7 linked regions of the Macaca fascicularis genome follow. The protein of the gene in region 5 interacts with the protein of the main gene of each other region in a pairwise test. Links are inferred from orthologs where the notes say so. Each region holds a gene or a part of one and is shown on either strand. Other genes may lie near its edges.

Region 1 (4,152 bases), on a different chromosome or scaffold from region 5:
CTCCTTAGAAAAAGCATTTGTCCTTTGGGAGGCCAAGGCAGGAGGATCACTTGAGGTCAGGAGTTCGAGACCAGCCTGGCCAATATGGTGAAACTCCATCTCTACTAAAGATACAAAAATAAGCTGGGCATGATGGTGTGTGCCTATAATCACAGCTACTGGAGGCTGAGGCAGGAGAATCGCCTGATCCCAGGAGGCAGAGGTTGCAGTGAGCCGAGATCGCACTACTGCACTCCAGCCTGGGGAACAGAGCAACACTCTGTCTCAAAAAAAAAAAGAAAAAGAAAAGGCATTTGTCAGTTTGACCGGCATTTCATTAACCAAAGAGAGTCACATGACCCAGCCAGCTGTCAATGGATTAAAGGAATCTAATCCTGCAACTGAGAAATGCCACAGATCACATGGCCAGGTCTGATGAAGGAGTGAGAGGTATAACATCTTCACATGGTGGGGAAGCAAATATTGAGAACAATTCTACAATGTGCTGCACTGAGAGAACAGTGGGTGCAAAGCTACAAGCAAAGAAAAACCCCAAGAGCTAATGATCCTAGCTGGCTGGCTGAGGTTGCCTAGTTGGGAAGAGTGGGAGATGGAGCTAGAAATACACACCATGCCCACAGTGATGAACTGCAGAGACCCTTCTCAAAATAAATTAAAATTGACCCATCTCTTGAATCAAGTCCTTAGATAAGAAATGCCCTATTTTTCTTGTGCTCATAGAAAGAGTCTTTGGAGCACACCCTAGAGGAGACCAAAGCCCGTTACAGCAGCCAGTTAGCCAACCTCCAGTCGCTGTTGAGCTCTCTGGAGGCCCAACTGATGCAGATTCGGAGTGACATGGAACGCCAGAACAATGAATACCATATCCTTCTTGACATAAAGACTCGGCTTGAGCAGGAAATTGCTACTTACCGCCGCCTTCTGGAAGGAGAAGACGTAAGGTAAGGCTCTTAGAATCAAGGAATAGGTGTCAATGTCTGTATGCACTTCTATTTTAATGTCCCTGTCACTCGTTACCCAGCACCAATGCAATCCCTAGGACAGAAGTAATTATACTCACACGCACCTCACCACCACCAACAAAACGAAAATATACCAAAAAGTAGACACACGCCCAAAATATCAAGTACAGCCTTGAGATCATGTGATAGGACTGAGTTAGAAGATAATTCTCCAAATGATAGATTATGCTGATATTAATTTTCATCATTAATATATAACTGAAGGCATAACAGCCTTTTGGAAATTCTAATTGAGAGCTCATGAATTAGAAAATAAGTTGCTGAGGTCCACGGGAGCCAGAATCATCAGTGTGGCAGCAGCAACTGTCTTCAGATACCATACCTAAGAATATCAACAAGAGAACACAAGATTTAAACTTACATTGTAATTTTGTTACTTTAATTAGAGGAACTTCTTAGCTTATATTAAACTGGTCAGTTTTAAAGCTATGTATTTTTCAAGTTAAAAAGTAAAACACTCAAGTTTGCAATAACAAGCAATGTAAAAGGGAAAGATACATGAAAGCATTAAAACACATTCACTTGGACTTTGAAATATAAAAGATAAGAGTGCATTCCATTTTCAAAACAGCAATAATCCTTTTTTCTGTTTCTTTTTTCTTCTTTTCATTAAAAAAAAACAAAACAAAACAAAACAGAACTACAGAATACCAGTTAAGCACCCTGGAAGAGAGAGGTAAGTTCTAAATTTTTGCACATTTTCTATGACACTCAGCTGCTTTCCAATAACTATCTCCCATGGATAAAAAGTAAAGTGAGGCTGTTTCAGTCTGTTTTCTGCTCCTGTAATGGAATACCTGAGACTGAATAATTTACTAACAATAGAAGTTTACTTGGCTCACAGTTCTGGAGGCCAGAAAGTCCAATATCAAGGTGCCAGCATCTGGTGAGGGCCTTCTTGCTGCGTCATCCCATGGCAGAAAGTAGAAGTGCAAAAGAGTGTGCATGAGAGCCAGAGAGAAAAAGAAGGCTGATCTTGCTTTTATAACTAGCCCACTCTCACAATAACTAACCCATTCCTATGGTAACCACATTAATCCATCCATGAGGGCAGAGCCCTCATCATCTAATCACCTCTTACTAGGCCCCACCTCCCAACACTGTTACATTGGGGATTAAGTTTTCCACACATGAACTCTAGGGAACACATTCAAACCATAGCAAAGGCCAATTCTCAAAACAGCAGATATGACACCAGGGATTCTAAAAATCTTGTACATGGCATAAAGAAACCCTCTATGTGGGAACTTGGGCACACTCCTCAGAACGGGGTGATTTTCTTGGCCTGTGCTATTGCTATCTTGAGACATCTGAGATCCTGAAAAGGAAAAACAAGACAAAATCTGAATTCCACTTAAATTCAAGATCATTTATTTCTTGAATTTATAAGAGTAGGATATTTGTAAATTTGGGGAGAAGCACATTTTCTGTATCTATTTATAAAATGGACTTAAGATTTTTTGAGAAAGAGGATGGGTTTAACATATTTTTCTAAAAGAAGGAAATAAGTAAAAAGAATAATAATTTAAAGTTGAATATTATAAATCAGTAGAGTCATGTGCCTGAATTAACATTTAATGTTTAATATGAATTCAGATATAAAGAAAACCAGGAAGATTAAGACAGTCGTGCAAGAAGTAGTGGATGGCAAGGTCGTGTCATCTGAAGTCAAAGAGGTGGAAGAAAGTATCTAAATGGCTACCAGAAGGAGATGCTGCTTAGGTTTTGAAAGAAATGAGGCTATAATCTTATCTGCTCCCTGCAAGAAATCGGCCATAAGAAAGCATTATTAATACTTTGCAGTGATTAGAAGGGGTGGGGTGGGGGAAATCCTATTTATCAGACTCTGTAATTGAATATAAATATTTTACTCAGAGGAGCTGCAAATTGCCTGCAAAAATGAAATCCAATGAGCACTAGAATATTTAAAACATCATTACTGCCATCTTTATCATGAAGCACATCAATTACAAGCTATAGACCACCTAATATCAATTTGTAGGTAATGTTCCTGAAAATTGCAATACATTTCAATTATACTAAACCTCACAAAGTAGAGGAATCTATGCAAATTGCAAATAAACTGGTTTCTAATTTTTTCCTGTTTCTGAATTGTAAAACCCCCTTTGGGAGTCCCTGGTTTCTTATTGAGCCAATTTCTTGGTTAATCTCATTGATTTTTCAGCATCAGTACAACTCTACAACCTTTGAGCTATCTCTGCTTTTTCCCATTGTTTCTACTGCCTTTTAAAAGTCTACACAGCTCTTTGAATAATTTGAGAGTCAAATTCAATCACAAATGCGGAGCAGAATAAGAGTGAAGTACACTATACTTAAAATGTAAATAGATTAAAAACATTACCAAAACCCTTCTCAAGGCAAAATGTGTCTCCTTTTGATAGTAAGCTGCATATACTATCAGGTGCTCTCTTTTTTAATATATGGTGAACATATATTTTTAATGAAATTTTTTAAAATAACAGCTTTATTGAGACATAATTCACACACCATGAAATTCACCCTTACAATGTGTACAATTCAGTGGTCTTTGGTATGCTTAAAATATTTTGCAACCGTCACCACTACCTAATTTTAGAACATTTCATCATCCCAAAAGGAAATCTTGTACCTATTAGTAGTCACCCCCCATTTCCCTTCCTCCCAGCCCCTGACAACCACTAATCTACTTCCCCTCTCTACGGATTTGCCTACTCTGGACATTTCGTATAAATGGGATCATATGATGTGCCCTTTTATACACAAATGTTCATAGCAGCATTACTCATAAGAGTCCCAAAGCAAAACACCTCAAATGTCCATCAACTGATGAATGGATAAACAAAATGTAATATATCCACACAATAGAATCTCATTCGTCAATAAAAAGGAATGAAGTACTAACACATGCTATAACAGAGATGAACTTGGAAAATATGCTAAGTGAAAGAAGCCAAATCCAAAAAAAAGAAAAACACACATTGTAACCTCACCCTTTCTGCATTTTAGTGAGCAATCATTGCATATGAATGTGTATGGGAAAAAATCAATGTGCGCTAAATCATCGTAGTCTAGTAAATAGATTGGACTTAAAACTTGATACAGAAGTTGTAAATAAGTGGGAGTGAGTTTG
Region 2 (2,988 bases), on a different chromosome or scaffold from region 5:
GGTTGGGGGTAGGATAAGAAGCAGGAGTCCCACAGGCTGACTTGCCTTTTTGCAATTGGGCCACTGTCCTGCACACATGTTTCTCTTAGTCATACCACGCTGTATTATGGGGATATGGTAACCCGACTACATTCACAACTTTTCTGGTCTTATGGTTCCTTAACTTTGCTTGGTTTTTCTTCCTGTCTCCAGTGACAGAGAGAAATCGCCCCTGGGATTCCCACAGGTGCATTCCTGTCATCATCTTCACTCACTGCATCTTGAAGCATATGGATGAAACCCAGCAGGCTTATTGCATAGCTTGTGGTCTGCCCTGGGGAGCCAAGGACCAAGAGCCAGAGAGATGAGAATCAAGATAAAAATAGGTGAACTACCACCTACCAAGTAGATGACTACACAGGAATTGATGTGTGGGCAAGTTGAGCCGTGTGTGTGTGTGTGCGTGTCTGTGTACACTGAAGACAAGGGCACAAGGGGTTCCAGACCTCCCTGCATTTGAGCTCCATGCCTTCTCTTAGCATACACACAGCCTCCCAGGTACCAACAGTGCTCTGCTTGGAAAGTAAACATGCCATAGCAATCCTGGCACCTCTGTGAAGTGACTTAGATGCTCACGTGCACCACCTACAGCGCTACCTGAGTGATGAATGTCTCTGGGATGTGAGTGTCAGCTGAGCATGTCTGTTGGGAAATGGGCCCCTCCCAAGAGCCTGAACCTGAATACTTGTTATAAAAAGGTTCTCTGGCTGGACACTGCTCAATCCACTGCCTAGCAGGTGGCCCATTCCAGCCTGAGAACGTAGTGAGTCTTTCAGTGGAGCCAGGGTCCGGTAAGTCTCCTCGCAGGGTCTCGGGGAGAGGGTGGGATGAGTTGAGGGCACAGCGGAGGAGAAAACAGAACACAGGCAGCAGATAGATGCGGAAGGGGTGTCCTACAAGGCACCTAAGCTTCCAGTGAGCCAACCTCTTAAGGTACTAATGAGGACATGAAGGCAACACAGGAGGTGGCTTTTGCAAGGGTACACAGCAAGTCCACAGAAGAGCTGTGACTAGAACCCAGGTCTTTCAGCTCCCTGGATGGGGTTATTTATATTGGCACAACTCTCCTTTCCCACATGGTTGTGGGGCGTGAGAGGCATAGGCAAGAAAGAATGATCAGGACCTGCTTCTGGCATGTGGATTATTTAGATCCAGCAGGTGGGACCGCGTGTTGGACTTGGGTGTTTTCTAAATGATGGGGTGTAGTAACTAGGAAGATACAAATCGAAGGTCGGTAGGAAAGTAAAATGAGGAAGAGGAAAAAAGCCAAGTGGAGATTTTGGACTGGATCATACAGATAAGCTGCCGCAGTGTGCTGTCTATTTTCCACTGTGGAGAACTTGAGCAGTCTTCTTCTAGTCAGAGAAAATGGAAATGCACTGATTCATTGCATAGATTGTGTCCTGCTCTGAGCATGTTTAACTCACTGGAAGCCCCTGCTTGGATTTGCTTTTCTATGTCCCGCTCTTTCTGGGTACTTTTCCCCCCTTGTCCCAGGCCGGGCTGACTTGTACACTAAACCGAATCTCAAAAGCCTAGACAGAGTTCCACTGGTGGAAAGAAAAAGCCGGCTCGCCTTTAAAAGGCTGCCTTTCTTCCAGGTTCGTCGTGAGGAGCTCCGCGATGTCCTCTCAACAGAGCGCCGCTTCCGCCAAAGGCTTTTCCAAGGGGTCATCCCAGGGCCCCGCTCCGTGTCCTGCCCCTGCGCCCACCCCGGCGCCCGCCTCCTCCTCCTCTTGCTGCGGCGGCGGCTGCTGCGGCTCCGGCGGCGGCTGCTGCGGCGACTCGGGCTGCTGCGGCTCCAGCTCCACCAGTTGCTGCTGCTTCCCAAGGAGACGCCGCCGGCAGCGGAGTAGTGGCTGCTGCTGCTGCGGGGGCGGCAGCCAGAGGTCCCAGCGCTCCAACAACCAGAGCTCAGGCTGCTGCTCTGGCTGCTGAGAGACCCGCAGCCCCCAGCGCTGCGCTAGAGAAACCCGCCCAACCCAGAGCGAGCCCGCCCCGCTGCGGCTCCCACGCGGGGCTGGGCCTCGCAGTTTGCCCCGTAAAGCGAATTGCACTTTGATGTTCAGAAACCCACTTTGTTCTCAGCCACGCAAAACTCCCTGACTCCGATGTGATTTTTCTCCCCAGGGATTCACGAACCATGCGTGGAACACTGGACCCTACTGTCTGCACGGGTTTGCACACAGCAGGTGCTCAGTAAATGCCTAATGATTTGATTGTCTTTTGAAGATGTCATAATAAAGCTTCTACCTCCTTAGAACACTTTTTCTTATTTGTTCTTCATTCGTTTCTCCGCCCAGGTAGAAAGACTTGAAATGTTTGTGAAAGGCAGAATAGTATAATTCATGCCTGAACAAAAAGATGACTTTCTGATTGTTAATTATGATAGCAGCGATCAGATATCGACTGTTTCGAGGATTTTAATGACTTTACGTGACAAAGCTCTTGAGTATTCTCAGGACTTTATGTGGCACAATCTGATTCTCATAATGACTCGTGTAGGAGAGTGCTGTTATACCCTTTTTACAAGAGAAACTGAGGTTAAGTATAATTTGTTCAAAGTCACCCAGCTGACGCCTGATAAAGAAGACAGGACATCTGATTCCAAGGCTTCATTGCTCTGCTGGGTCCTCACCTGGGCTTCCCAAGCCTTACCACCGAGGTGCTCCTCCTGACCACCGGGTTCAGGCAGCTGTGTGGCAAAAGTGTGTTTTGGCAACTCTTGGGGGCTTTGGAATCAAGCCAGCTGTCTTTTTTTATTTTTTAGTTTTACGTTTTATTTTATTTTTTATTTTTGGCGTGGAAGATTATTGACCTACTGCTTTGCTTGCTGGGGAGGAAATTTTTCCTAAGATGTGCCTTCCAGGAAAGCTGGAAACTACCCTCTCCAGGTCTCATTTGTGCAGCTGAAGCAGGACCAAGAGCCACGGGTTTCTGGGAGTCTCT
Region 3 (4,152 bases), on a different chromosome or scaffold from region 5:
ACAAAAAATTAGCTGGGTGTGGTGGCTCACGCTTATAATCCTAGCTCCTCAGGAGGCTAAGGCAGGAGAATCGCTTGAGTCCAGGCAACAGAGATTGCAGTGAGCCGAGATCACCACTGTACTCCAGCCTGGGTTGTCTGTCTCAAAAAAAAAAAGACACTATTCACACTATTAATGAGAGATTTACCATTTGGGGTTTTAAAAATATATATACCTAATTATCATAAACCTAACGATAAAACCTGAAACTAAAAACTTCTAGAAGAAAACACAGAACAAAATCTTTATGACTTCAGGTAAAGAGTTCTTAGATACGCCACCAAAGCACAATTCATTAAAAAAAATAATAATAATAACACTTAATAAAAATGAAGAATTTCTGCTATTTAAAATACATTTAAAAAATAAATGGGCCGGGCGCGGTGGCTCACGCCTGTAATCCCAGCACTTTGGGAGGCCGAGGCGGGCGGATCACAAGGTCAGGAGATCGAGACCACGGTGAAACCCCGTCTCTACTAAAAATACAAAAAATTAGCCGGGCGCGGTTGTGGGCGCCTGTAGTCCCAGCTACTCGGGAGGCTGAGGCAGGAGAATGGCGTGAACCCGGGAGGCGGAGCTTGCAGTGAGCTGAGATCCGGCCACTGCACTCCAGCCTGGGCGACAGAGAGAGACTCCGTCTCAAAAAAAAATAAAATAAAATAAAAAAATTAAAAAAAAATAAATGAACAGGCTGGGCCCAGTGGCTCACGCCTGTAATCCCAGCACTTTGGGAGGCCGAGGCAAGCAGATCACCTGAGGTCAGGAGTTCAAGACCAATTTGGCCAACATGGTGAAACCCCATCCCTACTAAAAATACAAAAATTAACTGGGCATGGTGGCAGGCACCTGTAATCCCAGCTACTTGGGAGGCTGGGCAGTCGCTTGAACCTGCAAGGTGGAGGTTGCGGTGAGCCGAGATCACGCCACTGCACTCCAGCCTGGATGCCAAGAGTGAAACTTTGTCCTCCCGCCGCCCCCACCCCCGCTCCCACCAAAAAAAAATAGAAAATAAGCAAACGAATCACAAAATGGAAGAAAATATTTGTAACTCATAATCTATAAAGGACATATATTTAGAAAGTAAAAGAACTCAATGATAAGAAAAAAAACCCTATTAAAAGGATGAGAAGGAGCAAAACATTTGAACAGATATTTCACCAAAGACGATATACACATGGCAAATAAGCACATGAAAAAAATGTTCAATATCATTAGTCATTATACAGCCATTTTGGAAAACAACTTGGCAGTTTCTTATAAAGTTAAAAATTTACTTATAACCCAGCAATTCTATTCCCTAGGTATTTACCTGAATGAAATAAAAACTCAAGTGCACAAAAAAACCCGTATGTACATGTTTACGGCAACTTTATTCATAAGCACTCAAAACTGGAAAAATCTAAATGTCCTCTGAGAAAGGGATAAACAAATTGTGGTACATCCCCATACAATACAACACTACTAAGCAATAAAATGTAATGAAATACTTAAACATGCAACAACATGGGTAATTCTCAAATGCATCTGGCCAAAAAAACAGATCAAAAAAGCTACATACCATATGCTTTCATTTATGTGTTATTCTTAAAAAGGCACAACTTTAGAGACAAAAAACACATCAACGGCTTACCAGGAGCTGGGAGTGGAGGGGAAGGATTGACTATAAAAAGGGGGCATGGAGGAAATTTTTGTGATGATAGGACTGTTCTATATCTTGATTGTGGTGGCAACTACGTGTCAGTACACCTTTGTCAAAACTCACAAACATACGTGGTATACAGGGTGAATTTTACTGTACATAAGTTACCCCTTAGTAAAAAGAAAAAAAATTGCTTGGTAACTCAAGATACTGTATAAAAGAGACTACCCTGATATAAATTATTAAAAGGCATTTACCTTGCTGTTTCAAAAACCACGGTTAATTATCCCCTCACACAACAAACGTTTATTTAGTGAACACTGAGCCAGGCACCTGTTACTCAACTAATACTTAATTACTAAAACATAGACTCTCAGTTGGGGGTCATTTGTCCTTTCCGATGCATTCTTTATCAAAGCCGGAGCACAAGGAGATTCCTATATTTAACTAGTTAGTTTGGCCTAACAGTTGTATCTGTATCAAAAAACAGCCCATGTTTACATTTATCTACTGCATAAAGCTTTTCTTTAAAAGTCATATAGAAGGAATCCCATAAGACACCATCCAAAATCCACTTTGGCTAAAAGTGTCTTTTAAAACATGTAAAGATCTTATATATGTTTAACATGTATAACAGCAAAGCTGAATGTAAATGCTATGAAGCTCTTTACTGGCAAGTGGAACACTATAGTGATTGATATGCTTTGAATCTGTGTCCCTGCCCAAATCTCATGTTGAACTGTAATCCCCAATGTTGGAGGTGAGGCTTGGGAGGAGGTGACTGGATCACAAGGGTGGTTTCTCATGGTTTAGGACCATCCCCCTTGGAGCTGTTCTTGCAATAATGAGATCTGGTTGTTTAAGTGTGTAGCACCTCCCACTTTGTCCTCTTGCTCCTACTCTGGCCATGTGACCAGTGTGCTTCCCCTCTGCTTCAGGCCATGAGTGTAAGTTTCCTGAGGCCTCCTCAGAAGCCGAGCAGATGCCAGTATCATGCTTCCTGTACAACCTGAAGAACCGTTAGCCAATTAAACCTCTTTTCTGCATAAATTACCCAGTCTCAGGTATTTATAGCATTGTGAGAACAGACTAATACAGTGATATATGTCCAAACACATATATTTTATAGCAGATAAGAACCTGTTTACTAGCCAGCATCATTAACTGTACAAATACATTTTGTAGCAATTGAGTCTATCTCCTCCCCAATCAAAACAGATTTTAGATTGCAATTTTAAAACACTAGCCAACTTAGATAAACCTGAAATTCTTTACAAGTACATTGTCTATGAGTTTCCAATGCTGCTATAATAAGCAACAGATTCTGTTAAAAACAGACTTACAGAGGCTTTCCATTTGTTGTATCAAATATTTCCTATAAAATATACCTTAGAATTATTATAATAGACTTTTGTTAATCATTTAACCTGTAATAAAAATATTTCTAATGACAATTTCCAAAAACTGTACATAAGGTAGCTCCACATTAAACTTAAAAATCTCTAATAAATGAAATTCAAGCAATAAAAGAACATAAATTTATGCTACCCTATTGGAAAAATGTATGAGAAACTTTACCTCAATTTTCTCAGGAAATGCTAATCTCTGGTCACAGACTTTCTTAGTACATTATTCTTATTTTTTTTAATACGAAGTACAATCAAACCAAAAACAAAAAAAAATCAAAGGTGCAAGTAAGAGAATAGCCAGATGACTGGATCTGCCTGCCAATTAATAAGCAAATACTTACCTGTAGGGGGAGTGGAAGAAACAACAGGGGGAGTTGGAGAAGTGAAGCCATCAGCAAGGGTCTGGGCACCCCCAGCAGCAGCGTCTGGGGCAGTGGAGGAAGGGACAGTAGCAGGAACAAGAGGGGCAGGGGCAGATGCAGAAGTAGCAGGAAGGGGAGGAGTGCCAGCAGAGCCAGCAGGGGCTGAGGGGAAAGAGGAGTAAGAGGCAGCATTAATGAGGCAATCATATGAGGCAGGATTAGAAAAGGTATTAGAGTATTTAATGTTAGATATTCAGTGCTTAACACTAACCAAAGAATAGAGTTGAAAAAAAGAATAAAACTTATGTTAAAGGATGTCTATATAAGCAGCAAATAATTCAAGACGCTCAGGGTAACGTACAGATTTTTTCAATTCATTAAAAACAAACATTCCTTTTTATTTGAAAGCACTACTCCAGAAGAAAAGTGTTCCCTTCATATTGTTATTTTTAGCATAACATTCCGTATATAGTATACAAAACTAACATAATACACTAAAAAGCAACAGTTTTCCATTTTGAATTAGACAAATCAGAAAATAGACATATTCCAGATATCAGGCAAAAAAAAAAGTTTTTTTAAAACACAAACCTTTACGATTTTTAAAAGGCATTATCTACTTGTTACTATAAGTAACTAAGTATGTAACATTCTATTAATGTATTTTGTGTCATGTTTTTAAAACTAAGTTTTAAGTGTGTAT
Region 4 (4,871 bases), on a different chromosome or scaffold from region 5:
AGACCAGTCTGGCCAATATGGTGAAACCCTGTCTCCACTGAAAATGCAAAAAATTAGCCAGATGTGGTGGTATGTGCCTGTAATTCCAGCTACTCAGGAGGTTGAGGCTGAGAACTGCGTGAACCTAGGAGGTGGAGGTTGCAGTGAGTCGAGATTGTGCCACTGCACTCCAGCCTGGCCGACAGAGTGAGACTCCATCTCAAAAAAAAAAAAAAGTACTATGAACTTTTTGTGTAGTAAGAACTGTACATGTTATCTCATTTAGTTCTTCCTGTTCCTCTGAAGACTATTTCCACGTTACAGATGCAAAAAGAGAGGTAAAGCCCAGGGTCACAAATCTGATATTGAAGCCCAGAATTGTCTGACTCCAGAGCTTGCTTAAGTGCTCAGCTATACTACCTCCCAAGGCTAGAGCATAAGGCTGAGGAAAGAAGAGAAACGTAGACTTTCCCTTCCAAAGCCTTAGGCATAAGAGTTTTCCAACTTTGGAAGTTTTTATCCTGAAACTAAGAAGTGTTAGTGCTCTTGTCCCTTATATATGGCAACCCATCATTTTCAAAGCCTGTTATCTATGATCTAGGAGTTAGGTACAAAGGAAGTATTTGTACTATTGTACAGATTGAGGAGGAGCCTAAAGCGGTAGCAACAATGAGTTAGACTCAAACCCGTCTCCTGACTCCCTGTCTAAGGCTCTACGGAGACTCTCTTCCTGACCCAAGCATGGCTTCCCTGGGTACTGGGCAAAGTCCTAAGTGCCCTGCAAACAAGTAAAGAACAAAGAACTAATCATGACTGCCCCCTCTCCCCACAGCAGTTTACACTGAGCTGTCCTCCAAGGCAGAGGTGAGGCAGGAGGCAGCCCAGTGTAGTGAAGTGGTGTGTGTAAAGTCTCCAAATGTACCTGGCTACATAGTGCTTGCTGGAAGCTAGGTACTCTGCACATGCCCTACATGGGTTTTACTTAATGCTTGTAACAGCCCAGAAGCGTAGATTATCCCCAATTTACAATGAAGAGAGTGAAGTGTCTTGTCTAAATTCAAACAGAATAAACTGACATAGATTTGAATCTAGGCTCCAAAACTGTTGACTATTTTCACTGGGCGACTCTGCCCAGCACATACTCAGTCCAGGCCACCAGTTGTGCCTGTGGTCACTGGTACTAGACGGGACCTCTTTGCCCCTTGAGAGCCCTAGGTCTATAGCAGGAGGGGCAGGGGCTGCCTCTGCCATTATGCTATCAGCCCACCTTTGTTTGGCCAATGAGGAACTTGGCCTTGCCCCTTGGTATCAGGATGAGTCAGGCCAATCACGCTCCCCTGCATAGAGCAGGACCTTGTCACAGCACTGGGAGCTCTGTTCACTTAGGACCTACCCAGAGGTATGGAGTGTTTGAAAAGGAAACCACTGCGGTATGAGTGAGGGTCTGAACCAAGAGAAACTAAGAATATTGAGCTGACAGAATTTAGGAGACTCAGGGAGATCTGGGTTCTACTTAGAAATGAAGCCAGCACTATTTACTGAGAGCTGAGGAGGGTATTTTCCCAGGCTTTCCATTCCTACGATAAGAATGCAGGCTGCCTTAACAGAAGCTTCTGAAAGGTAACAGGACTTCAGGGAGACCAGCCTGCCTACCCAACTTAGGGCAGAATAAGAGAACAAGAATGGTAAAGTTGTTGCAGCTCAGTTCAAGGACTCAGCTCTGGCCCAGCTTTAGAAGGAGGAACTAAATCTGGTCATTCCAACTTCCCAGTAGCTGCTGGGCTGTGTTCGTGGGGGTTGGGGGGTGGTCCTCTAAGAATGACTGCCTACCTGGAATTACTGGGCATAGCGCCCAGGATAGGGTAGGGGCTGTTGAGAGCTTTGACCTCTCCATCTAAGCCCAAAGCAGTAGAAGAAGGGCTGAGGTCAATAATTAGCTAAGCAGTTCCTACTTTTCCCACTCCCAGGGCCTGTAGGGTAGTGGGAAGAGCTCTGAGTTACAGATCTAGAAACCTTAGGTTTTCATATTGGCTCTGCTGTGGAATTGTTATACATTTCTACTCTCCTGGTTTCAGTTTCCCTGCTGAACTAGATAGTATGGGAATCTCCAAATTCCTCACCTGTAAGATTCTTTAAATCCTTATTCTTCTCCATCCCAACACCACAGCAGTTTTCCACATCCTCCTAAACCAGTGACCCTCCCTCCCAGGTCTTGACCTTGCTCTGGGACCCTCTACTGCACATCAGAAGTCCAACGGCTTTCTCTGCCTACCCCTTGCACAGGTGGGTGAGCTTTGGGTTGCAGGAAAGGCCCAGCTGGTGATGGGCCTCTTGCCCCACCCTACCCCAAGGCTCGCAGACAGTGATTAAGGCCTGGTTACATAGACTGCAGGGCAAGGTCAGACTGGCTGGTGAGAAAAGAGGGCATTCTCCTACAACAATTCTTTCCCCAAATCCAACATGGAGAGATGGGGATTGCTGCTTACTGCAGGTTCCTGTCTTATGTCCTTCTCATATCTGATTCACTGATCCACGGTTTTTTCCCCACTAATCTTTTTCCTCCTAGGTATTTCCTACTTGTTTAAGGTCATAGTACACGCCCTAGCTGCCCCATTCCCTTTCTGGGTTCAGTCTCCTCCAATTTCTAAACTACCCATGCCCGTGTTCTTTTTCTCCCCTGGCTAGACTCCCCTTCCTGTGATCAGTGTTCTTTTTCCAAACCGTCCTCCTTCCTCCAATTCATATATCCCTCTTCCTAGAAAGAGCCTCCCACACAGCTGCCTCCTTCCTCCACCTCCCTACCGTGGTCTCTAACCAGATTTGGACCACCAAAGCCCCCTCCCTACAGGCCCTATCTGCCCTAGCCCAGGCTGCCATCTCCGCGCTCCCGTATTCCCCAGTCTTAACCAGGAGGGATGCAGCAGGAGTGCTGCATGGGGCTAGGCATGCTACCAGCCCAAGCCAGCATCCTGAGCCCCGCGGCTTGCTCACCGATTGACTTCATGTAGTCATCGAAATTCTTGCTGTCCACTAGCTTCCAGGTGCCCAGGAAAGCGTCCACCATAGTGATGCTGGGCTAGGCTGAGAAAAGCTACAAGAGAGCAGGCGTGCAAGGGCTCCGACGGCGGCTCCCTGGCCGGGCTGCCGCTTTAAATAGCCCTCGCATCACATGAGGAGACGTGGCCCACGCCCCCAGCTCCCGAAATAGGAAGCCCCAGGCTAGGGCTCACCCAGGAGGGGCTGGTCCGCCCATCCCCCAACCCACTGAGGTGGGTGGGGACCAGCCAGTGGCGCCCTGCTTGCCTGCGTCAGCGCCAGTGCCTGGCCCCCGAGTCCCTACCCTAGTCTGGCAGGACCTTCTCCCTTTCCTGGCCTCTAGGCACTCTGGAATCTGAGAAGGCAGCAGCCGGCACCAGCCCGAGAGCTAGGGCGCATGGCATGGATATCTTCCGTCCCCCAGTCCCTCTTTGAGCTTGGGTTCAGAGCAGAGATGAGACTAGAAAAGGAAAACGCCCTTGGGCTGGTGCCCATGCCGAGAAAAACTCTGGTTGACTTCTGGCACAGGCATCTCTCCTCGTTTTACAAGTGAGGAGCCCGAGGCTGAGAGGGGAACTGACATGGTCTCAAGAAATAGGAGGGGGTGAATGGGGCTCAGATTGCAAGCTTGGTCTAGCAGGCTTCAGAGCTCGCGCTCTCCCTTCACTCTCACTGCCCGGTGGCGGAGACAATCAGCAGGGGCTCGGTCTGCGGCTGAGCTGACCTTGTCCTCCGCCTGTTTTGAGCAAAAGCCTGACCCTTCGCGCCCCGCCCGCCTCACACGTGCTTGCCCCTCCCTGCGGAATGTCTCCTACTAGCCCTCCTCCCTCCCCACCCTACCCCACACCACCATCCAACTCCCCACCCGCCCCTGCAAGTGCTCCGGGCTTTTCCGGTTTCTTCTCACAGCTCCGAGCTTTAGCTCAGGTCGTTCCCAGTTCCCCTCCTTCAGAAATTCTGCCAATTCGGTCAGCTCTTCAGGGCCCACGGCTGCCTTCCCCACCTGCCGCCCTTTCTTTGACCTGTGCACACTAGCAAGCCGCCTGCACTTTTGGGTAATTTGCTGCCTCCTTTTGAGAGCCTGCTGTGCGTGGTTTGTCACTGTATAGTTTACTAAGCACTTTCAGTAAAAATAAGACCCGCCTTGTATTGCTCTTTATTGCATGCTGAGGGCTTTAGGTGTATTATTTCATTGAACTTTTAATTTTATTATTATTTTTTAGAAACAAGGTCTCTCGCTGTGTCCCCTAGGCTGGAGTGCTGTGACGCCATCATAGGTCACTGCAGCCTCAAACTCCTGGGCTCAAGGGATCCTCCCACCTTAGCCTCCCCAGTAGCTGGGACTATAGGCACACGCCACCACACCTGGCCTCATTGAACTTTTAAAGCAAAATCCATGATGTAGGTGTTACTGTGTTATTTTCTCTTTTTAAAAAGATGAACATGTTGAATCTCTGAGGAGCTCACTCATTAATTCAGCAGTTAATAAAGCATCTACTTTGTGTCAGGCCCTGCTTTGGAGAGAGACAACAGGGAACAAGACACACACCTCTGGGCAGCCAGACACAAAACTAGTGTGGTGGTTCTAAAGGGAATCCTGTCCTGTCCTGACCTGGGGGCCCAATGTAGGCCTCTCGGAGGAAGTGAGGAATAAATGAGTTTCTGAGGGATGGCAGGAGGCTCTGCACATCAAGGAGTAGTGCCGAACTGAATTTCAGCCAGCAGCAGCCTGTCCAGGGTGGGCCTGCAGAAGCCAACACAGGAGCCCTAAGCCTGCCACGTGCGTATAGTATGGCAGGCCCTTCTTCCTGGGACTCTGTTTCTCCATGTGCAAACCCTGCCTCCCTTCCCTGGAC
Region 5 (3,706 bases):
CTCCAGTGATCCTCCCATCTCAGCCAACTCATTTTTGTATTTTTTTGTAGAGACAGGATCTCGCTATATTGGCCAGGCTGTTCTTGAGTTCCTGAGCTCAAGCAATCCTCCCACCTCAGCCTCCCAAAGTGCTGGGATTACAGGCGTCAGCCACTGCACCTGGCCATATTACATCTAAACTGCATGGATCAGAGCTGGATTTGTATGGGTTCACCATTGTGACTAGATCCCTGGCACCTGAAGTATTAGAAACCAACGAGGCACTTAATAAATGGTGAACTGTTGGCTGGGCGTGGTGGCTTACGCCTATAATCCCAGCACTTTGGGGGGCTGAGGCAGGTGGATCACCTGAGGCTGGGAGTTTGAGACCAGCCTGACCAACATGCAGAAACCCCGTCTCTATTAAAAATACAAAATTAGCTAGGTGTGGTGGCATGTGCCTGTAATCCCAGCTACTCAGAGGCTGAGGCAGGAGAATTGCTTGAACCCAGGAAGCGGAGGTTGCAGTGAGCCAAGATCGTGCCATTCCACTCCAGCCTGGGCAACGGAGCGAGACTCCCATCTCAAAAAAAAAAAGGTGAACCGTTAAGCCAGACAAGTCCCCACAGAAGATTGTTTTCCTTGTAGTTTTTTCATAGTTGTAAAGAGCTTTTTATAAATGCTCTTCTTGGAAATTTTAGCTATAACTTATTAATAGCAAAAGCTTTTTTAAGCTGAGTTTTTGAGAACTGAGATGTGTAGGTGTAGCTGCTCCAATGCCTTTAGCTGCCAGTAACAACACACCGACTTGAGGTGGCTCAGCAGTGAGGACTTTTGTTCTGTCCCACAACGGGAGGAATGGATGCAGGCCGGGCTGGGCCCCAACAGTCCTGGGGGCTCAGGCACTTGCTGTGGCCTGTTGAAGAAGCCTTTCTCAGAATCCCCCAGGAGAGCTTTATGAAAATGCCAGGGCCAGCATCCTAGCCCTGGAGAGACTGGCTTCATGGAGCTGGCAGCCTTCGGTGTTTTAAATGCTCCAGTCAGTGCTGATGGGCGCCCATTGAGATCTGCTGGCTGGGACAAGGCAGAGCGCATGCAGCTGGCCCTGGGGTCATCTCCCCAGACTTGCTTGGCTGTGTGGAGGAGGAGGAGCAGATGAAACAAAAATTAGGGGCCTGTGGAAGGCAGAAGGGTGCAGTGGAAGGGGTGGGGGTAGTGAGGTAGGTTTCCTCTTCCTCAAGCTAGAAGGGGATTTCCTGAGGACAGACACCAAGCAATTTAAAAACTGGCCTGGAGAGAGGGAAGAGGAAACAGACGTCGTGGGTGTTTCTCTGGGCCAGGCACTTGGCTTCTCAGTCATGACTTTGTTCGTTCTGTTTGTTTGTTTGTTTTTTAGACAGGGCCTCCCTCTTTCCATTTCCGGCTTTTAGAGCTGCTTCTGCCTTCCCTGGCTCCTGGCTTTCTCCCGTCTTCAGGTTCCAAAGCGCATCACTCCAGTCTGCTCTTGCCACCACAAGCTTTCTTCCCTCTCCAGTCAGTCAAACCGATCTTCTAAGGATGCTTCTGATCATCTGGAGGGCTCTCACCTATAGTCCTAGCACTTTGGGAGGACAAAGAGGGAGGATCGCTTGAGCCCAGGAGTTCAAGACCAGGGCAACAGAGTGAAATCCCGTTCCTACAAAAAATAAAAAAGATTAGCCGGGCATGGTGGCATGTACCTGTAGTCCCAGCTACTTTGGGAGGCTGAGGTGGAAGGATCGCTTGGGCCCCGGAGCTTGAGGCTGCAGTGAGTTGTGATATGTCACTGCATTCCAGCTGGTATGACAGAGCAAAACCCTTTCCCAAAAGAAAAAAAACACCCCTATCCAGCACTTCCTCTCACCCTTTCCTCACCATCCCGCTGATAGATGGCACCACTTGGAGATTTTTCGGTTAGACGTTACCAACATCAAGTCAGTTTGGACTGAAGGGAAATGTTTGGCCCATGGGGCTTCTCGGGGGCTCTTTATCTGTTCCCCACCCCATCCATCTCTGGTGGGGCTCATGGTCTCCGGTGATGTCCCAGTGTCTGCAGGTGGTTGAGAAGGTGTCCAAGGGTGGCCCAGGTGCAATCCCCTGCACCACACTTAGAGGCGAAGGAGGCAGCTGCCTTCTGAGCATGGAGAAAATCCCAGGGGAGGCTCTGATTGCCTGGCTCGGGTCTCAGTTTATCCTCGAGCCAGTCACTGTGGCCAGGGGCATCTGTGCTCTGAGCACATGGGTTTCAGACCCTCCCCTGAGTTAGGAGGGGCACGTCCTCTCCTGCTCTTAGAGAGTACAGGTGTGGGCCTGGGGGACCTTCAGCAGCCCGTATCCTGCCATCCAGCCTGGGTTCCCTGCCCCATCTCTCTCTCTCACGTCCAGAGAGGCCCTCAGGGTGGCAAGAGCTGATCCGCTCACACCCCGCTAGAGTCAGCCAGGGAACCTTACTGGGTCCCACGCTGGGAGCAGGTCCTACAGCTGTTCTTCTGTGTCCTAGTCCCGCTTGTGGCAGTGCCTCAAATCTGATCTCCTCGGGCTGAAGTGGGTCCAAGGTCCTGTTCTCCCGCCTCATCCTCCAGAGTGGGAACTTTCCACTGTGCTGAATGTGGCCATGCACGTCCCTAGCACCCCGACTCCTCGTACCTGACCCCTGGAGCGTGCATTTGTGCTTCTGGATCCTTCTCGATGTAGCAGAGTCTGGTTTAGGTTACACAGGACGAAGGGGGGTTGCTGCATGGTATCATAATCCCATCCCACCACCCTCCAAACCAGCCGTGCCCAGTCATGCCACTGGGCTTGCCTTTCCAAAACTGCCATCTGACAGTGTCACTTCCTTTGCTTTAGAAATATTCCCGAGGTCGCAGACGCCAGCGGATTTGCTTTGGGAGCCAGAGTAGCTGCCGCCACCAGAGTCCGGAGCCATGAGCGGGTTTAATTTTGGAGGCACTGGGGCCCCTACAGGTGGGTTCACATTTGGCACTGCAAAGACAGCGACAACCACACCTGCCACAGGGTTTTCTTTCTCCACCTCTGGCACTGGAGGGTTTAATTTTGGGGCTCCCTCCCAACCAACCACAAGTACCCCTTCCACCGGCCTGTTCTCACTCGCCACTCAGACTCCGGCCACACAGACAACAGGCTTCACTTTTGGAACAGCAACTCTTGCCTCGGGGGGAACTGGATTTTCTTTAGGGATCGGTGCTTCAAAGCTCAACTTGAGCAACACAGCTGCCACCCCAGCCATGGCAAACCCCAGTGGCTTTGGGCTGGGCAGCAGCAACCTCACTAATGCCATATCGAGCACTGTCACCTCCAGCCAGGGCACAGCACCCACTGGCTTTGTGTTTGGCCCCTCCACCACCTCTGTGGCTCCAGCCACCACATCTGGAGGCTTCTCATTCACTGGTGGAAGCATGGCCCAGCCCTCCGGTTTCAACATTGGCTCAGCGGGGAATTCAGCCCAGCCCACCGCACCTGCCACTCTGCCCTTTACTCCGGCCACGCCAGCAGCCACCACAGCAGGCGTCACGCAGCCAGCTGCTCCCACAGCCACAGCCACCACCACCGGTACTGGGCCCACCCTCTTTGCATCAATAGCAACCGCTCCAACCTCGTCTGCCACCACCGGACTCTCCCTCTGTACCCCTGCGACCACCGCGGGAGCCCCCGCTGCCGGGACACAGGGCTTCAGCTTAAAGGCACCTGG
Region 6 (4,152 bases), on a different chromosome or scaffold from region 5:
CAAATAAATGATTTGTCTTGCACTTAAACATTCACTGGACATTTTATTGTTCACTGGGTCACGCAGATCTTCCAAATGTTACACATTACATTATGTGGAATCAAAAATTCACATTCATTAGTATCGTCACAAGTCTGTCAAATCAGAAATGGCTTTTAAAATATTGGGAAAGTCCAAGTGCAGCAGCTCACACCTATAATCCCAGCACTTTGGAAGGCCGAGGTGGGCGGATCACGAGGTCAACAGATTACGACCATCCTGGCCAAAATGGTGAAACCCCGTCTCTGCTGAAAATACAAAAAATAGCCGGGTGTGGTGGCGCACACCTGTAGTCCCAGCTACTCGGGAGGCTGAGGCAGGAGAATCATTTGAACCCAGGAGGCAGAGGTTGCAGTGAGCTGAGATTGCACCACTGCACTCCAGCGTGGCGGCAGAGCGAGACTGCGTCACACACACACACACCCCAAATAAAATCTTGGGAAAATGTTTAAGTTCATGATTGTTGATACAGTTTTCAAAAACACTAATCTTTGCTTTAAAAAATCAGATTTTATTATTGGCAGCAAATATATCATCATTGATTTTCCTTGAAGTGACAAGTTCACTTTGTTCATTTGCAAGAAAATGTCTGCTGGTGAAGCAGGTTTCAGATAATCAGTTTGTCAGTAGTTCTGCCAAGTAAAAATAGTGTTCCATGAGCAAAGCTCTAGTTCATTTTGCAACTCAGTTGTACTGTACTTTTTCCTGAGAATTCATAAAGCAGCAGAGTGCTTTATGCATACTTTCCCTTTCATCACAAAAAATACTTTTTAAAAATGCACTAAAGGCTCAAGATAATTAATAATTTTTGCTGCTTCATCAAGGACATCTTAAGTGGAACTCCCTTAAAAAAAAAAAAACTGAGTGGAGAGTGTAATGACTATTGGTATAGTTTGGTGCCTCTGCCTTGATTTGTGCTAATAATGTGCCAGCAGTTTTGTTCACCTTTGTTTTTGTATTCTGATTGCAAATATCAACACAGTGAAAAAGGCAGATAATATTCTAGTATTGCTATGAAAATACCTTTGATTTCACGAACCTCCAAAATAGTCTGTGAGATCCCCAGAAGTCCAGAGACTACACTTTAAAGAAAACTGGCTTAGTTGTTTACGTATGTTTCCTTTGACTCCCAGACCACATAGATCAAGGGGGGGGATCAAACAGAGGCAAATGACTGGGGTTTTTAGCTTGGTTACTAAATAAAAGCAGTGCCATTACCTAAGATAATGAAACAGGATGCGGAGTAGTGTGCTGGAAGGAGGAAGTGAATTCCGAGCTTCAGGTGGCTTGAGGAACATAGAGGTATGGGAATCTTAATATTAGTGCAGCTCAGAAGTTTTTTCTTAGGGTTAGGTAACCTCACCATACTAGTGGTTTTTGAGAGAGAAGAGGGCAGAAGAGACCTTGTGCAGCACCAACATTTACGGGTCCAGGAGGAAGAGAAGAGGATGATAGTACAAGGACATCAGGAAAGAATTAGAAGGATATCGGTATTGTCCAGTGCTTCAGAGAAGTCAGATAGAATGGGGACTGAGCCTTGACCATTGGATTTGGTAATAAGATTACTGGTAACCTTTGCCAGAGCAGTAGGGGATGAAATCCAGATTATGGAAGAGTGAAGAGTGCAGAGACAGTTATTTATACTATTCTTTAAAAGTTTTGGGGTAAAGGGAGAGATGTTGGGCAATTAAATATGAGAGAGAGGCTGTACTGAGGACAGAAGATACTTAAGTAAATTCCTAGGCTGAAAGGAAGAAGCTAGTAGAGAAGATACTGATGAGCACTTTGATCTGAAAGAAAAGAAAACTGATGAAACAAGTTGGTATTACAGATGAGGTACAGTTAGCTCTGTAGTATAATCTGTACTTCTAGTGAAGTGAGAAGCTGATGAAAACTGGATTCCCTGGCCAGAGAAATGCACAGACCTGTGATATTTGGCATACTTTTTTTTGTGAACACGGGAATTCCATACTAATTTTTTCTGTTTAATTATTGTTTAGTTTGATGTGTCTTGCTTTAAATCCATTTATTTCAACAAAAATTTTTTTTTTTTAATGCAGATGATTTAATTTTAACAATCTGTGATTTTCTCCGAATCGAACTTGTGTTTTGGCAACTTTCAGTCTGTAGTAACAAATGACAAGAAGAAGGGTGCAATTCTTTCTCTTGTGCAGGGATTTTGCCTCCCCCTTTCTTTCAGTTGAAAGATATTTGGGTCTCTCGAATAACTGGTACAATTAGCTCCAGAGTGCTTTCTTTCTGGAGGCAGTTTAGACAACAGCACTCAAGTAGTGCTTTTGTTAAAAATATATGTGTTTTTAAATGTGCTTGTATTTCTAACATTCTTTTCTCCTTTCTCTTCTAGTCTGTTCTCTGGGGAGGCAGTAAGGGGCCGTGGAGCTGGCCTCGGCCTCGGCCTCGGCATCGGGAGAGGCTGGACTTCCTGTCTCTCTGTGCTGAATGGCTGCGATGGCGCCCGCTCTCACTGACGCAGCAGCTGAAGCACACCATATCCGGTTCAAACTGGCTCCCCCGTCCTCTACCTTGTCCCCTGGCAGTGCCGAAAATAACGGCAACGCCAACATCCTTATTGCTGCCAACGGAACCAAAAGAAAAGCCATTGCTGCAGAGGATCCCAGCCTAGATTTCCGAAATAATTCTACCAAGGAAGACTTGGGAAAGCTGCAACCACTGGTGGCATCTTATCTCTGCTCTGATGTAACATCTGTTCCCTCAAAGGAGTCTTTGAAGTTGCAAGGGGTCTTCAGCAAGCAGACAGTCCTTAAATCTCATCCTCTCTTATCTCAGTCCTATGAACTCCGAGCTGAGCTGTTGGGGAGACAGCCAGTTTTGGAGTTTTCCTTAGAAAATCTTAGAACCATGAATACGAGTGGTCAAACAGCTCTGCCACAAGCACCTGTAAATGGGTTGGCTAAGAAATTGACTAAAAGTTCAACACATTCTGATCATGACAATTCCACTTCCCTCAATGGGGGAAAACGGGCTCTCACTTCATCTGCTCTTCATGGGGGTGAAGTGGGAGGATCTGAATCTGGGGACTTGAAGGGGGGTATGACCAATTGCACTCTTCCACATAGAAGCCTTGATGTAGAACACACAACTTTATATAGCAATAATAGCACTGCAAACAAATCTTCTGTCAATTCCATGGAACAGCCGGCACTTCAAGGAAGCAGTAGGTTATCACCTGGTACAGACTCCAGCTCTAACTTGGGGGGTGTCAAATTAGAGGGTAAAAAGTCTCCCCTGTCTTCCATTCTTTTCAGTGCTTTAGATTCTGACACAAGGATAACAGCTTTACTGCGGCGACAGGCTGACATTGAGAGCCGTGCCCGCAGATTACAAAAGCGCTTACAGGTTGTGCAAGCCAAGCAGGTTGAGAGGCATATACAACATCAGCTGGGTGGATTTTTGGAGAAGACTTTGAGCAAACTGCCAAACTTGGAATCCTTGAGACCACGGAGCCAGTTGATGCTGACTCGAAAGGCTGAAGCTGCCTTGAGAAAAGCTGCCAGTGAGACCACCACTTCAGAGGGACTTAGCAACTTTCTGAAAAGCGATTCAATTTCAGAAGAGCTGGAGAGATTTACAGCTAGTGGCATAGCCAACTTGAGGTGCAGTGAACAAGCATTTGATTCAGATGTCACTGACAGTAGTTCAGGAGGGGAGTCTGATATTGAAGAGGAAGAATTGACCAGAGCTGATCCCGAGCAGCGCCATGTACCCCTGTGAGTAGACCTCATGCATGATAGCATTCTTGAGAAATGTTGGCGCAGGGAAGAATGAATGAATCCCTACCATGGAGAGAATATGATTCTTTGTACATAGGTGTCTAGGTTCCATTTGTTTTTTTCCCTGGTGTTAGGTAGGTGAGTGCATATACATGTTAGTGAAGAAATGGAAGATATTTTTGCTGTAGTGTTGTGGTGTTGTAGTCTAAATGGTGGTAATTTCCTTTTGAAGTCTTATTAAGAAAAAAAACTAGGAGACATCTTATGTGTAAAATTGTACTAGTACCTCTTTAAGAGTGAATAATTAGATTTCTTTTGAAACTATATATAGGACATGACAAGTTAATGGCCTGATTGTTCA
Region 7 (4,888 bases), on a different chromosome or scaffold from region 5:
CTTCTACCTAACCACACTTTATTTTTTTTAGAAGAAAATAATATAATGCCATGAAAGTAGGCCACATTTCCTCCTTAGACACTGCCAATCTTACCTCTGACCTGTTGCCCTCCGTAGACAGACATGATCATTAGCTTCCTGGTTTTTGCTTATTCTGGTATCTTCCTTTTAGCTATTCAAATATATTTGTACCTCAAGATCCAACTTAAGGTCCCTATCCTCCATGAAATCTTTCCTTATCACCTTAACCTACTAGTCTGTCTTTTTAAACTCACCTAGTACTTATTTTATACCAAATATTTAGCTCTTTTTATATATATTAATGAGTGCTGATCACTGTGGTCATGTTGTTTCTCGAGTTTGAATATAAGCATCTTGAGCTTTGAAACAGTGTCATCATTGTACAATGGAAAGGGCACATACTTTTGAGCTCAATAAAGCTTGGGTGTAAAGTCTCTCTCCCATTTACTTGCTGTGACTGGGGACATTAATCAACTTTTGAGTCTCAGAATCTTCACTGGGAAAAAGGGATAATAAAACCTAATTCATTGGATTGTTGTGAGGATTCAATAATATATGTAAAGCCCTTGGCATATATAAGGGCTCATCAAATACTAGTTCCTCTATCACATGTATGCCTCCATATATCTGATTTTGCTTCAGCCAACATCCCAGTGCTGAACACAAAGGCAGCATTCAATAAATATTTGCTCATTGGAAGATACCCTCTCTATATATGTATTTTTAATGTACTATTTTACATTTACCCAAGAAGTAAACCAATCCTATGTTGAATTTTTGTATAATGTGTTGGCTCTGACTTGTTTGTTTTTACCTTCACATGCTGACCTCTGTAAAAAAAAAAAAAAAAAAAAAAGTCGAATTTTGTAGACTTCATATTTTCAAAGCATTTGCACAGCCATTATAGCATTAAAGACACTCTTAATGGGTAAAAAGATCTTATTCCCAATCAAGAAATGGGAAAAAGTGGCACTGGTGGCTAAGGAATTGCTCTAAGTGACAGTACCAGTGTATTTTAATATACAGAAAAACGTTCAAGAGGCTTTATCTAAACTCAGATCTACTGACTCCTTCTCCATTTTTTTTTTCATTATACCAATCTCTCAGGCTAAAAAGAATGTATCTGTAAAGTATACGCAGGAACAACTATTTTAATTAACTAAAATAGTATAAACAGTCTATTTCTTTTTATTCTGGGTGTAGAGTATGCACTTGATGACTGGATTAAAAACAGCACATGATACATCAATTGCAGTTCCTGGTTTACAGTTTTAAGTAATAGACAGTGAGTTATTTAAACTGCTCTTTTTGATAAACATATTTTAAAGAGGGCTTTTTCTCCCAATGATAATGTAAGAACAAGGTTCATTATTTTTAAGACAATTTCAATTCGGGGCCTAGCACATCACGCTTGAGAGCTGGTTTTTTCCTTCTGCGAATGGATCTTCTCTAAACTGGTGCAAACCACACTTTGCCTGCCAAACTTATGACTCAAAGGCCCCGAAGGGCTTTTTGTAGCCTCCCAGCCACAGCCCAGAAACCATAAGCTGTTTCCACGTGAAACGTCCAAACACGGTCTCCCAAGCCGAAGATCCGCTACCATCAAAGCTTCTGTATAAAAGGCAAATGAGAAGGCAGCGCCCCCTTCTGCTCCCACCCCCTTCTGCTCCCACCCCCTTCATGTCAGCAGCAGCCAATCGCTTTTCTCCATCGTGTGGTCGGCCCCTGGGATTGGCCAGGGACGGGACCGGCGCGGAACCACTGCGCGCACAGGCGGAGCGCGGGGACTTGTCCGTCACGTGCGGCCGCCCGGCCTCTCTGCCTCGCCGCGCGCCTGGCGGGGTTGGGGGGCGGGGACCAAGATCTGCTGCGCCTGCGTTGTGGGCGTTCTCGGGGAGCTGCTGCCTGAGCTGCTGCCGCCGCTACCACCGCGTTCGGGTCTAGAATTTGGAATCCCTGCGCCGCGTTAACAATGAAGCAGAGTTCGAACGTGCCGGCTTTCCTCAGCAAGCTGTGGACGCTTGTGGAGGAAACCCACACTAACGAGTTCATCACCTGGAGCCAGGTACGGTCAGGCCACGGCGGCCTCTGCACCCCCTGAATAACCGCGTCCTCACTCGCTCTCCCGCGGGGTGGTCTCTCGCGGCCTTGCGGCTCGACGCTGCCTGCGAGGCCAGCGGTGCGGGGCCTTGGTGTTCGGCCTCGCGGGGGACCCCCTGTATTGTTCGCTAGGGGAGCCGCGGGGGCCCGGCCGGCAGCGCCGCTCGCCTCAGGCCGCGGTGGGGGAGGGGCGGCCCGCGCGGGGCGTAGCGGCCCTGGCAGCCCCTTAACGGTCTGGTCCGCGTTCGGAACCGGCCCGGCGTCGCGAGGGGAATCGGCGAGCCGAGGGCGCGGGAGCCTCTTTACTGCACACTCATCCTCTGTCCTCCTGCCCGGCTCAGGGGTTACAAATCGCGGAGGGGACGGGGAGTCCAGGGCCAGGATCATCGACCTGGGGCTTTACAGGAGGCGATCTTTACCTCAGCGACCGATCACCCCCTCCCCGTTCCCCCAACACTGCTTTGCATCTGGGATCTTTATGTGGAGAGCAGTCAGGGAAATATATATTCAAACGCAGATTACTGCTTATCAGTTGGTTTTAAAAATATATAGAAATTAACACATTCTTTCGAGATTCTGTGCTATTTGTATAGTCGGATTATTAGGATTGTTTTAATAAAGTACTAATAGGTGGTCAGTAACTTAGTAGTTACTAAATTTCACTGAACTGTTACCAGCAGAGGGGCATATCGATGTGTTGATTATTGGTCTGATCTCAACTCTGCTTGTAAACAAGGATGACCTTAGTCCAGCCCCTTTTCTTGTCTGGCCTAAGTTAAATCCGTAAGATGGATGGGTTGCCTAGGTGACCCAAGACCTCTTTCAGTTCCAAATACAAGATTCTAGGCAGAATGATTATTTACATCCACACTACCTTTACATTAGAATACAATCCTAGGCTGTTGGAATCATTTTATGAAGGGAAGTGGTTAACCCTTATTGTAGATGATCACCTATTGAGGCATATTTTCATGTGTGTAGTTCTTGAGAAGAGTAAGTGAAAACTACCTGCATAGTGCCTGGCACCTGTTAAGTGCTGAGTAAATGTTATCTCCCGTCCTCCTTTCTTTCCTGTTCTCCTCCTATTATAGGAACTCTCAGTTTTATTTACTTTTATCTTAACAGGGAGTGAGCACCATATTAAGACCCTGAAGTTTTGACTACTGTAATACCATAGTTTGCCTTGTGTTATTATTTGTTCTTTTTTCTAACTTCCTTCTAGGGTTTAATTTTTGTGTGTTCCTTATGAGCAACTGAGTTATCCTTTTAGCCCCACTCCCTGCTTGGAGTTGAGTGCGGGGAGGTGGTGGGGCGGGGGCATTGTGTGAGTGTATTAAGAATTTAATGAGTTCTGTACAATTGTACAAAGCTAGGTGAAAATAAGAAAGCCAGCCACTAGCATGTACTTAAAATAAACACATGTCTCATGCTTTTCATCAGTTAGAAGGATTAAAAGTTGACAAGAAGGGTCAGCACAGACTGTCATTCAGACATGTATTCGTGTTAGAGATCGGACTGAGATTCTCTCCCCACGAAAGCTGACTTTATCATACCTTTTTGTCTTTTACAGGCCAGAAATAGGGGCCATATATATTGGCAGTTGCTTTTAATAAGAGTATCATGCCAGTCGTAGGCCTGTTAAATTCTGATTAGTAACTGTTTTAATAGCATTCTTATTTTCTGAGCAGTGTCAAATGTGGAGAGTTTTGTACTGATCCACAAATGCATCATTCTGTGAGTTCTAAGCCAAATAAGCCACTTAACCATTTTTTAATCCCATTACTAACTTTAAGCTTATGTGTTAACTAATTTTCTAATATGCCTATGGGACAATCAAAATGTAAGCTCAGTGAGATCACTGTGGCGGAGACACAGTAGATGTTTAATAATTGATGAATAAATGAGATCCCTCGAAAATGTAATGGAGTGGTAGGAATGATGAAGGTAAAATTATGTTTGAAATGAATCTTAGAGATCATCTAGGTTAGCCTCATCATTGTATAGATGAGGATTTGAGGCTTGGACAGGTGAGATTATTTATCCATAATTATACAGCTCGCCAAGATTGGAGATGAGACTCTAACATAAGCTAGTCCAACCCGAAGCCCACATGTGGCCAAGGATGGGTTTGAATGCGTTCCAACACAAATTCATAAAGTTTCTTAAAGAAATATGAGATATTTTTGCAGTTTTGCTTTTAAGCTCATCAGTTATCATTAGTGTTAGTGTATTTTATGTGTGGCCCAAAACAATTCTTCCAGTGCTGCCCAGGAAAATCCAAAGATTGGACGCCCCCACCCTAATAGATTTCTGAGCTCCCAGATCAGTCTTCCACCAATAGAACTAGACAATACAAGTTGACATCATATTTAGTTTTATACCAAAATGTTGCTTGCCACAAGTCAGTGGACAATTCTGAATAAATGTTGTCTAGGGCTAAGCCTAGTTGCTTAGTTGTCTCACTCGTGCTCTCCATTAATTTTTCTAAAAGCAGTGCTAACACTGAAAAGTAAAACTTTAACAATAATGTTAGGTGGAAAAACCAAAATAAGTTACTTTCATCTTTCTCTTTTCTTTGATGAATAAATGAAATCCCTAGAAAATGTAATGAGAGTGGTAGGAACGATGATATAATAGTCCTCAGCAGGCTTTGAATTTCTAAGTGGCAGAGATTATATCACATTCTTTTTTTTTTTTTTTTTTTTTTTTTTTGTAGTAGAGTATCACTCTGTCACCCTAGAGTACAGTGGCACGATCTCAGCTCCCT

What was found.
Region 1: the proteins of NUP62 (region 5) and KRT20 interact in binary tests that used the Homo sapiens proteins (3 or more experiments, as listed by UniProt). The two-hybrid records come from large-scale screens. The link is inferred for Macaca fascicularis from reciprocal best matches to the Homo sapiens genes NUP62 and KRT20.
Region 2: the proteins of NUP62 (region 5) and CRCT1 interact in binary tests that used the Homo sapiens proteins (3 or more experiments, as listed by UniProt). The two-hybrid records come from large-scale screens. The link is inferred for Macaca fascicularis from reciprocal best matches to the Homo sapiens genes NUP62 and CRCT1.
Region 3: the proteins of NUP62 (region 5) and ABI2 interact in binary tests that used the Homo sapiens proteins (3 or more experiments, as listed by UniProt). The link is inferred for Macaca fascicularis from reciprocal best matches to the Homo sapiens genes NUP62 and ABI2.
Region 4: the proteins of NUP62 (region 5) and FABP3 interact in binary tests that used the Homo sapiens proteins (3 or more experiments, as listed by UniProt). The two-hybrid records come from large-scale screens. The link is inferred for Macaca fascicularis from reciprocal best matches to the Homo sapiens genes NUP62 and FABP3.
Region 6: the proteins of NUP62 (region 5) and KANSL1 interact in binary tests that used the Homo sapiens proteins (3 or more experiments, as listed by UniProt). The two-hybrid records come from large-scale screens. The link is inferred for Macaca fascicularis from reciprocal best matches to the Homo sapiens genes NUP62 and KANSL1.
Region 7: the proteins of NUP62 (region 5) and HSF2 interact in binary tests that used the Homo sapiens proteins (3 or more experiments, as listed by UniProt). The link is inferred for Macaca fascicularis from reciprocal best matches to the Homo sapiens genes NUP62 and HSF2.

Annotation. Positions count from the first base shown.
Region 1 is NC_088390.1:61,961,451-61,965,602, reverse strand, and holds the end of KRT20 (keratin, type I cytoskeletal 20), read left to right. Parts: intron 1-720; coding exon 721-941; intron 942-1,660; coding exon 1,661-1,698; intron 1,699-2,618; coding exon 2,619-2,716; 3' UTR 2,717-3,394; downstream 3,395-4,152. UniProt on the Homo sapiens protein: Plays a significant role in maintaining keratin filament organization in intestinal epithelia. When phosphorylated, plays a role in the secretion of mucin in the small intestine.
Region 2 is NC_088375.1:108,651,249-108,654,236, reverse strand, and holds CRCT1 (cysteine-rich C-terminal protein 1), read left to right. Parts: upstream 1-1,639; 5' UTR 1,640-1,662; coding exon 1,663-1,977; 3' UTR 1,978-2,279; downstream 2,280-2,988.
Region 3 is NC_088386.1:99,290,657-99,294,808, reverse strand, and holds part of ABI2 (abl interactor 2), read right to left. Parts: intron 3,612-4,152; coding exon 3,429-3,611; intron 1-3,428. UniProt on the Homo sapiens protein: Regulator of actin cytoskeleton dynamics underlying cell motility and adhesion. Functions as a component of the WAVE complex, which activates actin nucleating machinery Arp2/3 to drive lamellipodia formation.
Region 4 is NC_088375.1:203,636,255-203,641,125, reverse strand, and holds the start of FABP3 (fatty acid-binding protein, heart), read right to left. Parts: upstream 3,106-4,871; 5' UTR 3,044-3,105; coding exon 2,971-3,043; intron 1-2,970. UniProt on the Homo sapiens protein: FABPs are thought to play a role in the intracellular transport of long-chain fatty acids and their acyl-CoA esters.
Region 5 is NC_088393.1:57,892,920-57,896,625, reverse strand, and holds part of NUP62 (nuclear pore glycoprotein p62), read left to right. Parts: intron 1-2,844; 5' UTR 2,845-2,921; coding exon 2,922-3,706. UniProt on the Homo sapiens protein: Essential component of the nuclear pore complex. The N-terminal is probably involved in nucleocytoplasmic transport.
Region 6 is NC_088390.1:67,749,692-67,753,843, reverse strand, and holds part of KANSL1 (KAT8 regulatory NSL complex subunit 1), read left to right. Parts: intron 1-2,404; 5' UTR 2,405-2,499; coding exon 2,500-3,788; intron 3,789-4,152. UniProt on the Homo sapiens protein: Non-catalytic component of the NSL histone acetyltransferase complex, a multiprotein complex that mediates histone H4 acetylation at 'Lys-5'- and 'Lys-8' (H4K5ac and H4K8ac) at transcription start sites and promotes transcription initiation.
Region 7 is NC_088378.1:26,359,835-26,364,722, forward strand, and holds the start of HSF2 (heat shock factor protein 2), read left to right. Parts: upstream 1-1,890; 5' UTR 1,891-1,993; coding exon 1,994-2,086; intron 2,087-4,676; exon of another isoform or gene 4,677-4,862; intron 4,863-4,888. UniProt on the Homo sapiens protein: DNA-binding protein that specifically binds heat shock promoter elements (HSE) and activates transcription. In higher eukaryotes, HSF is unable to bind to the HSE unless the cells are heat shocked.